Kluyveromyces lactis: one gene and its partner. Each later gene encodes a partner of the first gene's protein in a complex. Links are inferred from orthologs where the notes say so. Each region holds a gene or a part of one and is shown on either strand. Other genes may lie near its edges. The genes, in order: SPC98 and TUB4.

Region 1 (7,719 bases):
CCTTTAGGTAACCGAGTTATATGAAATAAGGAATTAGCTGAATTTCTTTAGTCATCACATATATAAAAGCCAGCTCTGAAGAAAAAATAAAAATTTCTGGAAGAACATAGCCAACTCATTTAAAGAATCTTCTACTGAACCTGGTGACCTCATATTTTCTGATGAGACCAACAGAATCTAATACGTCGGAGATTGATTCCATTTCTTCTGCTAGTGACGTTTCTCATATTTTGTCTGACCCGCATGGATTTGTACCGAAATCCAAAAAGAGTCAACTGGCAGATTCAGACCAACGTATCACTAGAAGGCTTTCTGAGCCTTCTAGTATCAAGACAGCGGACACAGGACGGTCTACTATCATTACTGGTATTTCAAGAACTGTTACGAGGACTTTGAGCACGATCAAGAAGGCGGTTGATGATGATAATTTACAAGCCGACAATAACACCGACGATTTAAACAAATTGTTGGAAAGAAATTTTGATATTGATGATGCATTACGGTTGACAGAAACAGCTAAGAGAACTGACAGTCGTTACACCACCAACACTAATACTAATACTAATGCCAATGCTGTTAATGCTAAGGGTTCAGATAAATGGTTTGATCAAACCTCTGATAGTGAAGGTGAATATCGATCGGAAGTTCCGGTTGAACTAGCCGGTGATGATGAAGGCCAGACACTTAATAAAGTCTTTACCAACAAGGAGACCAACACTTTGGATCTTCCACCAGAGGGAGGATACGGTTGGGTGTGTTGTCTTTGTGTCACACTTGTTATGTTTTCCACTTGGGGTTGTAATTCGGCGTTTGGTGTGTTTCTAGCATTTTACTTGAACAATTCAAGCTTTCCAGGTGCTAGTAAATATGACTATGCATTAATTGCAGGTATGACTGTATTCTTTGGGCAAGGGTTACCTCCGTTTGTTCTCTTATTTATGAGAATCTTTGGTTTAAAAATTCCAATGTATTTCGGTATTGTGATTATGTGCTTGGGTTTCGTTTTAGCCAGTTATGCTGTGTCATTATGGCAACTATATTTGACTCAAGGTTTCCTTAGTGGCGTCGGCATTTCGTTTATTTTCGCTCCTGCCACTACCGTTTTGCCTGGGTGGTTTCTTAAAAAAAGATCATTTGCAATGGGTTTATCATTGATTGGAACAGGAGCAGGTGGTGTTGCATACTCTCTAGCGGTTAATAAAATGATAGAAAATACCGGTAATCAGAGATTTGCATTAAGAATCCTTGCTATCACTTGCAGCATAACTTGTGTAGTAGCAACCCTTTTGCTACGTCAGAGAGTTCCAATGAAGGCTACTGGGATCAGAAATTGGAAAGCAATCAAGCAACACTGTAATGATATGTTCTCGATGCACATATTCAAAAAATGGACAGTTCAATTAATTGCAATGTGGTTCATGTTTGCATTATTTGGATATACTTTAATGATATTTACTTTATCCTCATACGCTGTTGCTAACGGCTTGACTGCTCATCAAGGTTCCTCGCTAACGGCAATCTTGAACGGTGCCCAAAGTGTAGGTAGACCCTTAATTGGATACACAGGGGATAAAATCGGTAGAACGAATATTACTGTTATGCTAACGTTACTTTTAACAATTTTCATGTTCGGTTTTTGGATCCCTGCTGACAGTTATTCATCTTTAATCGGGTTTTCAATATGTGTCGGTCTATGTATTGGTGTAGCTAATGTTATGAACACCGTGCTAGTTGCTGACATCGTTGGACCGGTAGATTTTTTGCCCGCTTGGGGTTATGTTAACTTGGTGGGCTCTCCATTCATGCTTGTTGCTGAAGTTATTGCACAAGCGTTGACTGAACCCAACTCCAACGACCCATATCTCCACACTCAAATATTTGCGGGATGTTGTTTCGTTGCGGCATTACTCCTTATATTGGGATTGCGGGAGGTGACAGCAAAGATAAAGATAAAAGAAAGACAAACGATAAATTTGCAACGGTTAAAGGATTATGATGATTCAAACTTATCAGAAAAAGACAATAACATCTTGAGAGAAAGAGAGATCAAGTATGATTACTTACTTGGATCAGGCATCAAAAGCTACTTTGCAAGAATGTTTTATCCAATGCATGTATAAAACTCTTTCCACAGAGTCATCTATTCTTTTCTTCCGTCTATAAAAGTAGCATTAGTGAAGTATCTTACTTAGTTTATTTATTTCAGTATTTTCATCCCACTTCAAATCCTTGATATAAGCATTGCATTCATTATCAAAATCCTTCCATTGATCAACCAACTTCTTTGAAATTACATTGAATCTCATTATCGGGTCATGCAAATTTTGGTTAGGATCTAAGTTCATCTGAATGCAAATCTCATGAATGACGTTATTTAGCTCAGAGTAATTTAGCACAAACTCATAACTCATATCCATCAATAAAACCAAAGTAGTTGGATACAGCTGATGAGTGTATGTTCCAAGCGAAGCACCTGAACCTGAATATAAAATTGGATGATTCAAAATATTTGATAAGAATACAGAATGAGCTCTTTTTAGATCCTCAAGATCAAATGAAGAATAGCCGCTAACATCATCTGTCGTAAGTTCTTTGAAGTTTTCGATAAAATGAAGATCAGGTTTTAAAACACCGCTTGAGACTTTTACCCCATTTCTAAGCACTTTAACTTTAACCGAGGAGGTTGGATCGGTATCTTTATGATTTAGATTCGAAAGAAGCTTCCTAAATTCATGTTCAATAATACTCTCGAAACAATATGTTTCAACTTTTTTAGTGAAAGATTGAATCTGATTCTTTAAAACATTGATCATTGAAACTTTATTCAGTAAATCCCTAATAAATGGAACCCTGATGTTCAGCTTTCTAAAAAGTTTAAGAATGGATGAATTTTTTTGCCATTCTTGTTCATAATTGTACTCATTCTTTTTAATTCTCCATAAGAAGTTGAAAATTCTCAGATAATCTCTGCGGCTTCCGTGTTGGTTGATATCCATTACTGTTGAAAGAGGCTGATCCACGAGATAGTCTAATGTGAAAACATCCCAACCCGAAGATCCATGTGCTAATTCCAAAATTCTAGCATCAAGCCTATTCACCAAGAGATTGTTATCTGATTTGTTCAATCTATTTCTCAGAGATGATTGTTGAATTGCGATTTGTAGACACTTCGTTAAATGATGGCTTTCTAAAAGTTGAGAAGGTTGGTTGAAGAGATTTTCCGAGTTTTGAATAATAGAATCAATCACATCGCTTTTACCCATTAGAAGGATATCTTTTAAAAGGTTGAGAGTCTCGAAATAATAAAATTTCGATCGTAATGTGGTGTTGATATAGTGGTTAATTTCACCATATTGCTGGTTAACCAATTCGAAAAATTTGTGATCCATTGAAGGGCCTAATAGCCTATATTGCAATGAATACTTATTTGCAAATTTTCCAATCCATTCAACTTCGCTGCAGCAATGTTCGAGATATCGGAGGGACTTTCCAATAATGTATATTTTTTTGGCCACTAAAGACGGTATAAATTTTGGAATTTTCTGTGGCAAGAATACCAATCCCAATGGTTCTTTCTCGTCATTTTGAACAAAAAAGTCACTACTAACATTTGAATCCAGTTTTCCATCAATCAACCAATCGCATATGTTCTTCATGTAGGGTTGTAAAAGACGCTCTAACGCATCAGATGCAAATTTCTCGAGTACTGGATCACCATTACTTTTTTGTAACTGGCATACAGATAGTAATCCCTCTGCACTGCTTTTTTCAAAGTTTTCAATATATTCCATATATGTCCTTAGTTTTAGTACTTCAGGATAGAGGTGTTGATATGTAAAACATAATGGATCGAGTGGATGTAAGTGGGATGAGAAATTGTTGACGAAATTACTATAATCTCGAAGTTTACTTTGAATCAATGTCAAAAATGCTACTTTTAGTGTACTGGTGGTAACATGTTTTTTAAGATATTCCACTCTAATTTGAAGGTGCAAGTAAAGTAAGCCTGCTTCAACGATATCATGCAACTGTTGGCTTTCTCCGTTCGGAATATTGCTGGGTATTGTGAACTTCTTGTCTTTTAGTTCGAATAAAGTAGAGGGTGTTCCCAACACAAGATAGGGTATACTTTTAACGATATCGGCCCTCGATACCATTGTGCTGAAATATGGATCTGATAAGCTTTGTAATGTAGCATCAGATGAACTATGTTGCCAAGCATTTCCCCCATAGGACCCAATTGACCTTCTGTCCGATACCTTCTCAAAATTCTCAAAAGAATCCGCATAGACGCTTTCCGTTGTTTTCCTTTGTATATTTTCTATCACTTCTTTCGACATTGGTTCTCTCATATCATACAACTCATCGTTTTTGTCTAAAAGTGACAAACATTGCAGTAAATATTTATGTTTTTCTTCCGGACTTGAGAGATGGCACATGATGCCGGCAAACATTTCTAAATGAGACCAACTTTTCATGTCCTGATTGCGTTGCACCATTATTTTTTTATAATATTCCAATACTTTTGTGACATTTTCCTTTGATGATGTTTTGATAGAGTAGTAAAGGTCCTGAATTAATTGCTGAGAATACGCACTGCCAGCAGATGCAGGAAGCATGTGTAGTACACATGTGCCAAATTTTTGGTCCATTATTGTTTTTTCCGTTACCCCACAGTAGAGATAGGGGAAGAGGCTCTTTTTCACATCTTTTACCTTTCACTTTAGCGCACAAATCGTTCTTGTTTGTTGATATTTTCACAAAACAATATCGATCTACTGTTGTTGTATCCAATGATGTAAACATAAAGTGAAAAAGGTTGTGAAATAGTCACGTGATTGACTTTGGTGACCATCACAAGGATTGAAGGAAAGACATATGCAGACATACATGTATACATAATATATATATCAATACAGTACATGTATAATACATTTGTTTAACTTATTATTATGCCATATTTTTTAATAAGGAGCAGAGAGTAGTTCAGCCTCCCTTGAAAAGAAAGAGTTAGAGAATTTGTCATCGTACCCGCAATGTTCCATAGTTCTTTTATAGTGATAGAAATTGTAGAATTGCAGCATGGCCCGTAAAGCAATTTCTTGGCCATAGGAATCGTTGATCTCGCCCGTGATATCCTTCCCTGTTATCCAGTTATCTGTTAAATGAAGTTTCTCATGTAAGAACACTCCAGAAATCAATTCCATATGATCTGCCCTCCATCTTTTATTCTTGAATGGTGCCAATTCGTGAATTATCTTTAATATGGGGTGGTATATGTCCAGATTAAAGATAGAATACAATGCCTTGAATATGTTACTAACATTAAGTGGTAGGTCTTTTAGCCTTTGTGTCTTTTTCCCAGTTATTTTGGATAACACTCGTAATAGATACACCTCGGAATTGAGCATTCGGAGATTTAATCTGTTTGCTTTCTCATTTGCGGTTGATATCTCAAGAGTTTCTTTATATTGAACATTGTATAAAGAACATTCACTCCAAAAAGAATGGGTAGGTTGTAAATGTTTAGAGTAAATTCTGTTTTGATATTGATCAGTAAAAGATTGAAGGATGCCTACGCTTGTCGTAATGAACTTTGAATCGTAAATCAACGAGCAAAGATACTCAAATTTAAGAAAGTGGCTAACCTTAAACCATTTTAAAAGGAGGAAAAGTATGGCAGAACTCGATTCCATTGCAATTTCCTTTGATCTTATAAGTTCCAATTGTGGTTGAAGCTCATTAATTTCTTCTTCAGAAAAATCCTCTTCAAGGTATACTTTGTTTGACATACAAGTTTCAATAGTTTCTAATAGAACATATACTAGAGATGAAAAATGGGGTAAAGCATTAGCATAATAATCTTCGATGCGATTCATGGTTTCAGGTTCCTCATTCTGTATACCTCTATACGTGAATGGGTCCTTCTCATGTACCTCAGTGTTTGTCCATCCTCGTTCTTGCACCATAAATAATTCTCTTTCATGCCATAGTTGTTTAGTAGATAGTTTTATATGCACAGATTTTGACAAAATTTCGATTGCTTCTTGCATGTTATACGGTAACACTGTCTCAGGCACCGCAATACTCAGCTTATTACTAAGTTCGTCTACCACACCAGTATCATAGTCACCAGAGGATGGAAAAAATGCTGGATATGATAAATTGGCTTGAAATGACTTCCTCGTTTTCAATCCGTTGGGCGAGCTTGTGGGTGATGCCGGCTGTGATGGTGCAGGCGTTGCCATATGCACTTGTGGCTCTCCCAACGACATGTTAGAACTGCTCCTCGAACGGGGTCTCGGAATCTCTAAAAATTGTGAAAGAGAATTGGGGTTGTCAAGCATGCTAGGATATGTCGGTTCTGGAAGCTGAGAAGATGGAAATCTTGAGGTGATATCTTCCCTAAAAGCAACATATTCCAATGGAGATATTGAAAGATTCGAAGCAGAGGAGTCTTTCTTTTCAATTTTGTGATGTTGAAGAACAAATCTCTTCACTGCGTCATAATGGCTCTCTTCACCAAACTGTAATAGAAGCACTTTATGGAATAAAATAATGATATTTCTTATTCTCATTGAGAGTCGACTTTTCCAACGCCAATGGTCTATATATTTTGTAAGGAAAAGCATCAAGCCAGATGAATGTACGACATCAATAAAATCTTCTACAGCTTTGGTGTGCATGCTTCTTTGCTCAATAGCTATATTGATCATAAAATAAGTGATTGAACCCGAGTAGAACAAAAGAGTATTATATTGTTGCAAATTAGTGTTCTTCACCCTACAACAATCTGCATGTTTCTTAAAGCAAGGTAAGAGTACCTTTGAAATCATCATCAATAGAGTATTATTCCTCCGTAGAATGTCTAAATGATGGAAATAACTGTTCGTTTCCTGAAAAGTTCCGAAAGAAATATACGCCAGACAAAGCAAGGTATTGATATCCACTGAATTTACCTCTAGCTTTTTACCAAGCTCTGTAATAACTTGAATAGCGTATTTACGCTCTTCGATAAATTTCGAACTATCATAGTTTTTTTCAAAGCTCAACTTTGCAGTCTTTAAGCTCCCATAGTCCTTTTGTATGAACCATTCTGATAGTTCGTGAAATAATGAATTAAAATCGGAAGCCTGCCAATCTAACGTAGGCTTGGTAAATGAATGTGAAAGATCACCTCTTTCAATCTCGTCTGCTTTTTCTTGTAACAACTTCTTTAATGCATCGTCTACTGGTAAATTATTATCTTCTTCAACTTTGACATCCTCATATGTAATTATTTTATCTTTGTCATTCAATTCGGGTGAAACCTTCCTTAGTTGCTTCGGTGATGCTTGTCCGTTAGTATATGAATCATAACCTTGGAAATAATCTTTCAGGCTACCAGAACTAGAACTGGGGGAGATTGGTCCATCGATCTCATCGACATTTGCAAACTCTGAATCCTCATCATCTTCTTCCCCATTAGCATCATCCTGAGTATCAATAATCTCACTGCTATTGTTCGCTTCATTAGATTGTCTATCTGTGCCGTTGTTTTCATGCTGCAATTCATTTGAATCACCCAAATGTAATTTCTTGCTAAGTAAACTATCCAGATCATGGAATAAAGACGTATCCGAAGGGAAAGTCTGGTGTTCATTGGAGAGCTGTTTTGCAAATGGCGGTCTAGCCTGAGTCTTGCTCCTCAAATCTTTAGAAGACAAAGACTTCAATAGC
Region 2 (7,024 bases), on another chromosome or scaffold:
ACATATCACTGCTTATCACCTGGTGGCTTGCTGCTTGCTTATGTTGTCTTTCATAAGCATCAAATTCAGAAAACACTTTAAGGTAGGCAGATCTTAAAGACGTTGATAAAGAGCTCATAATCCTTCCTGAGTATCCAAGTTCTCTTCCTATTTGGGCCCATAACTTTTTTTGGCAAACAGTGTCGAAGCCCCCTCTCAGTTGAACACAGGATCGTAGCCTGTGTAAATCTAACGTCCTCTTGTCTATACTTGGAATTTTGCCTAGTGTTGGATTTCCCTTTATATCTTTTTTTCCCTTATGAAAGCAGTATAAATCATGGTGGAGCTTGAGTCTTTTCTGTAGTTCTACATCATATGAGTTTGTATGCTGCTTTCTAGGCTTGAACCAAAAGTTCTCTGTGTCCAAATTAAAGGCATTGAAGGGTGAGTTATCACAATGATTAAAGTCAATCTTGACAGCACCGAATTGTTTGCCAAGTGGTTCCATTATTCTATAAAGTTCAAATGGCGTGGGAAAATCATCCGTGTTTCCCTTGACCGTGATAGTAGGGATCGATCCCTCTTGAACTGTATAATGAATTCCTGATATGGTACCCTCACTCACAACCCTGGCATTATTGATAACCTTTCCACAATGAATTTGGAGTGGATCGAAAGGTGCATTAGATCTCGTCCTGTGTTGCGTATACAAATATGGGTTGTGAGAGTTGTTATTTTGTGTGAAAGAAGTAGAGGCTGATTGACCGTCTATAACTTTCCTCGGAAGAGTCGTCTTGGAATGGTTGTTTTCAAACTGGTCGGGCACTGGGATTTTCGGTATCAGCGCTTCTGCGACTGAATTGGTAGTAAACTTATTTTTAGAAGTGGTAGAATGACTGGAGGTTTCTCCCTTATCTATTACGTGTTTTCTTTCGTCATTGGCGTACGATATGGTCGTTTGAGCTGGATTCAATAATAACGAAACAGAATTACTTGGCAGTGAGGAAATCTGTTTATGCTCCATGACTAAGAGGAAGTAAATCGTTTCAATTTGTTGCAAAATCCTAGTCTTTGTACAAAATCGATTTGGATTCCCATTGGTTGAGAAGGTCAAGCGAAACACTATCTTACTATGGCCAATAACTGAAAGTTCTTGATGTTATGTTTCACCTCATCCTCAAATTTCGCTTCGTATTGTAGCGCCAATTCATGTTGTCGAAATTAACATTGATATCACGTGGTATAAAAGACTTTTCGATATATGAGATAATGAGATGACGCTTGTATAATGACTAATTTAGGAAGAAATGATGTCGTTCACAACCTCCACATAGGCTTAAAACCTTACGGGAGTTGCACATTTCTGGCAGGCTAAGTTTCGATGGTCTTTTTAGCATATAGAAGGATTATAGTAGTTATAAATTAAATATGTAGCATGCTCTGCTTATCCTTCTGAATATTGTGCAAACAATTGTACACTTAGCAAAAGTACAATTTACCGTTTCCAAATTTTAAGGTTTTAACTTGTGTGACGGGTCATTTCTCCTGCAACTCCGAACTGTACTAGTCACGGTCTTTAAACAAAATTCAAACCGGATATAGGAGCTTGTGAGATTATCATAGGCCCTTTATATGCAAGCTTCAAATCGTTTGCATGCCATTTCTTGTTTTCTATAAGCAAGGAACGTCAGTTTCTTAAGTATCGACACCGAAAACGTCAAAAAGACACAATGTGCTAGGTAAGAATAGAAGTATATAAGTGAGCATGATGCATTTTCCTCGCGCGGAAAAGAATCATTATACAAATTTCAGCTGTGTGGAGTTGTTGTCGTGGTTTGATCAATCCTTAGTAAGCATATGGTCCTGTAAGATATGACAGAATTTCATGGAGTGACAGAGTCCGAAAACAATGAGGAAACTAGAATATACAATTTCGCAGACACTATGAGAAGATTATTAGCACTGCCTGACTATACCGCAAGGTATTTCCATTTTTCAACTAGTGATACCCATAATAACAGTACAGAACCACAGGATCGCAATGAACAACAATCACATGTGCGTTGGAAAATCCAGAAATTACAATGATATTGTCAAAACTGCTTCAGTTTGGCAATTAATGTTCAGCAGCTGAGGAAGTGAGCCCTAGTATAGACAATATTTCATTACTTTAATATAAAATCAGTCAAGTCATGATGTATATTTAAAATAATAGATATAAAATAAAAACGAACTACAAGGAACTTTGAGACCTTATCCCTTGAAAGGAATCGCTGGAGATAAAAAAAAAAAAAAGCAGCGAGAACTGCATGGTTACATTGTTCAACAATCCAACCATGCTGTTAAGAAAAAAACTCGTCGTTAAGGCAATAACATTTTAGATTCAAAATGAGAGCAGACTGCATCATAAAACAGCATTTTAAACTGAAATGTGTTGGTGAATATAAACTTTTCAAATCATTTCGTCATTTCTAATTTACCAGTTATCATTAGAGAACTGGTTGTTTCTTTGACCACCGGTTGCCCCAGAACCGGGATTAGTTCTGGAAGTGTAGTCTTCAGTTCTTGCACCAGAAGGTGTGCCAGGAATATGGGCATTTCCAGCTTTCTGACCAGAGAGACCTTGGCTACCTAGTCCACCTTGTTGTTGACGAGAGCCCTGGCTCGTTTCAAATCCCATTTGCTCGGAAGAGTACTTTTGACGTCCACCACTAGTGTTCGAACCCTGGTTGAAGTCGTCATCATATTCATCGTAGTGGTCTTTAGCTTGAGAGCTCATCTTATTCTTGGATCTGGTTTGACGTCCACCACTTAGTTCATCATCATCGAATCTACCTGTAGATTCTTGCTGAGAACCTCTACCCATTGAACCCATTCCAGATTGTTGAGATGGTTTGTTTGAGTATCCCATGTCGGTTTGACGACCGTGAGATTGTTGTTGAGAGTTTAATCTGTTTCCTTGTTCATCGACTCTTTGGTCATTGTTATCATCACCGGTTAACTTGTCAGCGAATTTGTGTAGAATGTTAGACATTTTGATATTATAGATGTTCTTGATATTGATTTTCTTGGACAGTGTGATCAATTGATATAATTGAGTGTAGTATAACTCAAACCTTGATCAAGTTGGATTAGAAAGTAAATTCATAAAACACTGCTCTTTTATAAACTGATTTCTGATCCAGGTTTATTCAAAATAGCAAACCTTCTGAGAACGATTTTGCTGGAGCATAGCATCTTACATTAATTGCCATTGATTAGGTAAGTACCCACTAAAGTTTTACGAAATGCTTTAGTGCCCGTGGTGATCCACATCATATTCTTAATTGATGTTCTCGTAAATTCAAGTTCTAGTTCATGGGCAATCAAAAAAGCAGCGAGTGATGTCGTAATTTTACTCAAATACTAACAGTACCATGCTTCTCCGTTGCCCCTTGCGATGTGAAGTATTATTGGATTATATAACCCATAGTATAGCCTTCCTTTTTACAACTCGGTTCAATAAACCACCCACTTTGTTCCAATAATTAGTTTGTCCCCTAAAAATGCTTGATCCGACAATACCTATTCTAGACATATCCCCCATCTACTATGGAGATAATTAGCTCAAAAGAAAAACCTTCATTACCATGTCTCCATAAGCTTCTGCAGTTGTTAAATTAGTTCCTTAACTATTCCGCTCGGTATGCAATGAAACTTCTTATTATGTCACATTGCTATTCTATTTAAAGATATATTGCTACTCGCGTTGGCACTGCCATCTACGCCCTGGAAACATTACTTGAAATTCGTAGCTTCAAGAAGCCTCCATACTGCCATTTTGTACCATGATTGAATTTTTGCATGTCACACAGTGACGAGCCTCATCTACTGGTGCCAATAGCAACCATACCTCGTTTAAGGCAAAACTCAGAAACCAGGCCCCTTCTTAATCTTCCCTTAATTCTCTCTGAATTGAAATTTCATGTTGAGATGTTCTAGATTGTGTCTTACATAAATATGTTACCCGGATCTGTTGATAGTTCGCGAAAACTGTAAACAAATACAAAACACAGGTTGGATCTGGGAAATCGCATTTAATAAAGCGGTGACGTTATGTCGGATTGATTTTAGAATTTACGCCATCAGGTTGCTTTGCTTTGTCCGTAGCTTGGTGAGTTTTTTTTTGTGATGACTGGTGAAGTAATTACTTTGCAAGTTGGCCAGTGCGGGAACCAAGTTGGGCGAGAGTTCTGGTCACAATTGGCGAAAGAGCATGGAATTGGACAAGATGGTCTAAGTTTGCAAGAAGATTCTCCCACAGCCGTTAGAGAAGACCATCCAGTGACTTTTTTCAAACAAAACGATTCAAATCGGTACACTCCACGTGCATTACTTTTCGATTTAGAGCCCAGTATTATCAACGATATACGAAACAGTTTCCCAGGTTTTTTTAACGAAAGAAACGTTTGGGTGTCGCAGGATAATTTAGGAGCTGGTAATACATGGTCGATAGGTTACGACTATGGTACAGAAAATCAAGACCAATTTATAAATATGATTGATAGAGAAATAGATGCGACAGAAAATTTTGAAGCGTTCCAATTGATCCATTCAGTCGCTGGTGGTACAGGATCAGGTTTAGGATCGAATTTATTGGAGTTATTGGCCGATAGCTATCATAAGAAGCTCGTCACCACGTATTCAGTGTTCCCCAGCGATGAATCCGAAGTTGTGGTTCAACCATACAACACCATGCTTACTTTGAGGCGACTAATAGAAGATAGTGATGCGTCGGTGGTGTTTGATAACAATGCGCTTTCAAATATTACGGCAAGAATTTTAAGGGATTCTAATGTCAGTTATGCACAATCGAATCAGGTGATATCGACTGTTATGTCTTCCATAACGAATAGCATACGGTTCCCCAGTTATATGTTCAGTTCGCTACCAAGCATTTTCTCCACCATCGTACCCACGCCCGACATGCATTTCCTAGTTCCAAGCTTCACCTCTTTCACCACCGATTTCATACCCGAGGCAAAAAATCTCAAGAGAAGTACAGGTTATGATGTAATACTAGATTTATTTGATGCCAACAATTCGATGGTTACCCATTCTGCAGACGATCCTGTGTATATCGCCATATACTCTCTATTACAGGGATCGGTAGAACAATCAGATATTACCAGAGGTATCTTAAAGACTCAAAAAAGAGTTCAATTTGCCCCATGGTCGAAAAGCTCACTACACGTCAACATTGGTAAAAAATCGCCATACAACAAAACTTCTAACTCCGACTATGTGAGCGGGCTCATACTTTCGAATACCACGGCAGTGAATTCACTTCTTAAGAAAACATGCAATAGTTTCGATACGATTTTCAACAGAGGTGCTTTCTTACACAAGTTTCAAAATGGGAGAGTGTTTGAAAATGGTTGGGATGAATTTAAAGAAAGTCGTGAAGTCGTACAATCGGTAATTGACGAATACACATATGCTGCTCAGGATTCATACATTGATGATATTCTACTCGAAGAGAACATGCTAGTCGGTAATGATGATGGTGCAATGGACATCAATGACGACAATATCATATAAACATGGGTGAGAGCTTGCTAAAATCGCTTTACTATTTTTTACGAATTTCTGTGCCAATTTAATTATTTATTAATTGTGTATTTAATTAACGGATTGTAATGAGGAAATTATGCAGCAGATCAGAGTTCTGCAGGCTTGTGAAGATTTTACTTTTTTTAGTATTAATAACAATTAATATTACCCTTTAATATTACATGCAATTGTCTCGATGCTCATACTTTAGCTATTGCTAGCTTTCGGTCACTTCCCTGCCTATGTCTAACCTTTCTGGATGGTGGAGGTGGGGGAGGAGTTTGTTGATTAGATTTATGATTGATAGAGTCGGCAGAGTATGAGTTCTGTAAGTTACTATAGAGGTGAGGAGTAGTTGACATCACTGGCTCCAAAGGAGTGTTACTTGTAGACTTTTGACTTATACTTGACCTTCTACTCTCTTCGCTGTCATTTTGATCGGATGAAAATTGGTTTTCTTGCTCGAGCCATTTGACTTCGTGTAGACATTTTGCTGCTAACCTGGCGGTGGTCTTCTGTAGAGGGGTTGCCTTCTCAATAGAACAGAAATTATCTACATCAGAAAAGAATTTTAAAGTCGTAGAAATTTCACTTCTGTGATACTTCGTGGCTGCTAGTTCCGTATTGTTCAACAATGGAGTTAGAACTCTTAAATATGTGTTTCTTAAAATTTCTTCGTTATCAGATATGTTGTTCAAGTTTCTCAATAGCACATCAACGAAAACATGCAAGTCATTCAAGTAAAAGAAATCCTTAGCCACTTTTAAATCTTTAGTCAATATTATATATATGACTTTGCAGATCATTATCAATAAAGAGGTGTCAGTTTCTCTATTAAATTTTAATAAAAGCAACCCAATGAAATCCTTGGACATGTTGTGGTTCAATAAAAACTCATAAGCCTTGTTTTCGATATCAAATTCGTACTGAAAAATCATATATTGTTCATTGAGGGCAAGTAGAAGCTTAAACTTGACATTGTTTAAAATGTCGTCAACAACATCTGATCTTATGCTGCTGACGAGATAGTAAATAAAGAAATCATCAATCATTTGAATATTGGAAATCTGACATTTCGAGTACTTGAAGAATTGATACATGATATCAATCAGTATAGTAGTCAAGTGTTTAATGTCTTCAATGATTTCAAGATTTGTGTCTTTTTTTGGATCTTCTTGGGCTTTGTCATGATATTCATTTGCCTGGTATGGGACACCAGTATATTCATCGCCGTACTTATTAAGATACGCAAAGTTGCTGTAAATATTGTTATAGAGAACTAGGAACCCCTGATTCTCTAGAATGATGTCCAATGCATTTAAGTCAACCTTACATTTGTAAAGAATGATATATGCAATAATTAATTTCAAGTTTAATTCCAAAAGATCGATAGACAATAAAGATAAGAGTTTTCTTAAACAGAAATCAGTTGTTTGTTGGAACATTGGAGACT

What was found.
Region 2: the proteins of SPC98 (region 1) and TUB4 are in contact, whole or in part, in a cryo-EM structure (PDB 7M2W), measured with the Saccharomyces cerevisiae proteins. The link is inferred for Kluyveromyces lactis from reciprocal best matches to the Saccharomyces cerevisiae genes SPC98 and TUB4. Residues at the interface, in NP_014273.1 of Saccharomyces cerevisiae: Lys478, Met483, Gly484, Lys485, Ser486, Asp487, Met489, Asp490, Ile493, Glu494, Leu522, Ser524, Arg526, His527, Leu528, Ser531, Pro532, Arg533, Asn534, Lys594, Asn597, Tyr598, Gln601, Met604, Leu605, Lys606, Asn608, Asp609, Ile611, Arg612; in NP_013313.1 of Saccharomyces cerevisiae: Met1, Gly2, Thr44, Glu45, Arg46, Asp47, Asp48, Asp49, Thr50, Lys51, Asp131, Cys159, Pro163, Lys164, Lys165, Ile166, Glu196, Asp197, Ser198, Asp199, Pro245, Ser246, Tyr247, Met248, Tyr249, Ser250, Ser251, Ser253, Ser254, Tyr256.

The regions. Positions count from the first base shown.
Region 1 is NC_006042.1:2,256,846-2,264,564, forward strand, and holds SPC98 (Spc98p), read right to left. Parts: upstream 4,653-7,719; coding exon 2,172-4,652; downstream 1-2,171. Other genes in the region: ESBP6 (Esbp6p), read left to right, coding at 162-2,120; FAR11 (Far11p), read right to left, coding at 4,965-7,719. UniProt on the Saccharomyces cerevisiae protein: Involved in microtubule organization by the microtubule organizing center, the spindle pole body (SPB). Probably part of the microtubule attachment site at the SPB.
Region 2 is NC_006039.1:1,417,531-1,424,554, forward strand, and holds TUB4 (gamma-tubulin), read left to right. Parts: upstream 1-4,149; coding exon 4,150-5,559; downstream 5,560-7,024. Other genes in the region: ECM5 (Ecm5p), read right to left, coding at 1-1,003; KLLA0_C16225g (uncharacterized protein), read right to left, coding at 2,456-3,013; LDB17 (Ldb17p), read right to left, coding at 5,772-7,024. UniProt on the Saccharomyces cerevisiae protein: Tubulin is the major constituent of microtubules. The gamma chain is found at microtubule organizing centers (MTOC) such as the spindle poles or the centrosome, suggesting that it is involved in the minus-end nucleation of microtubule assembly.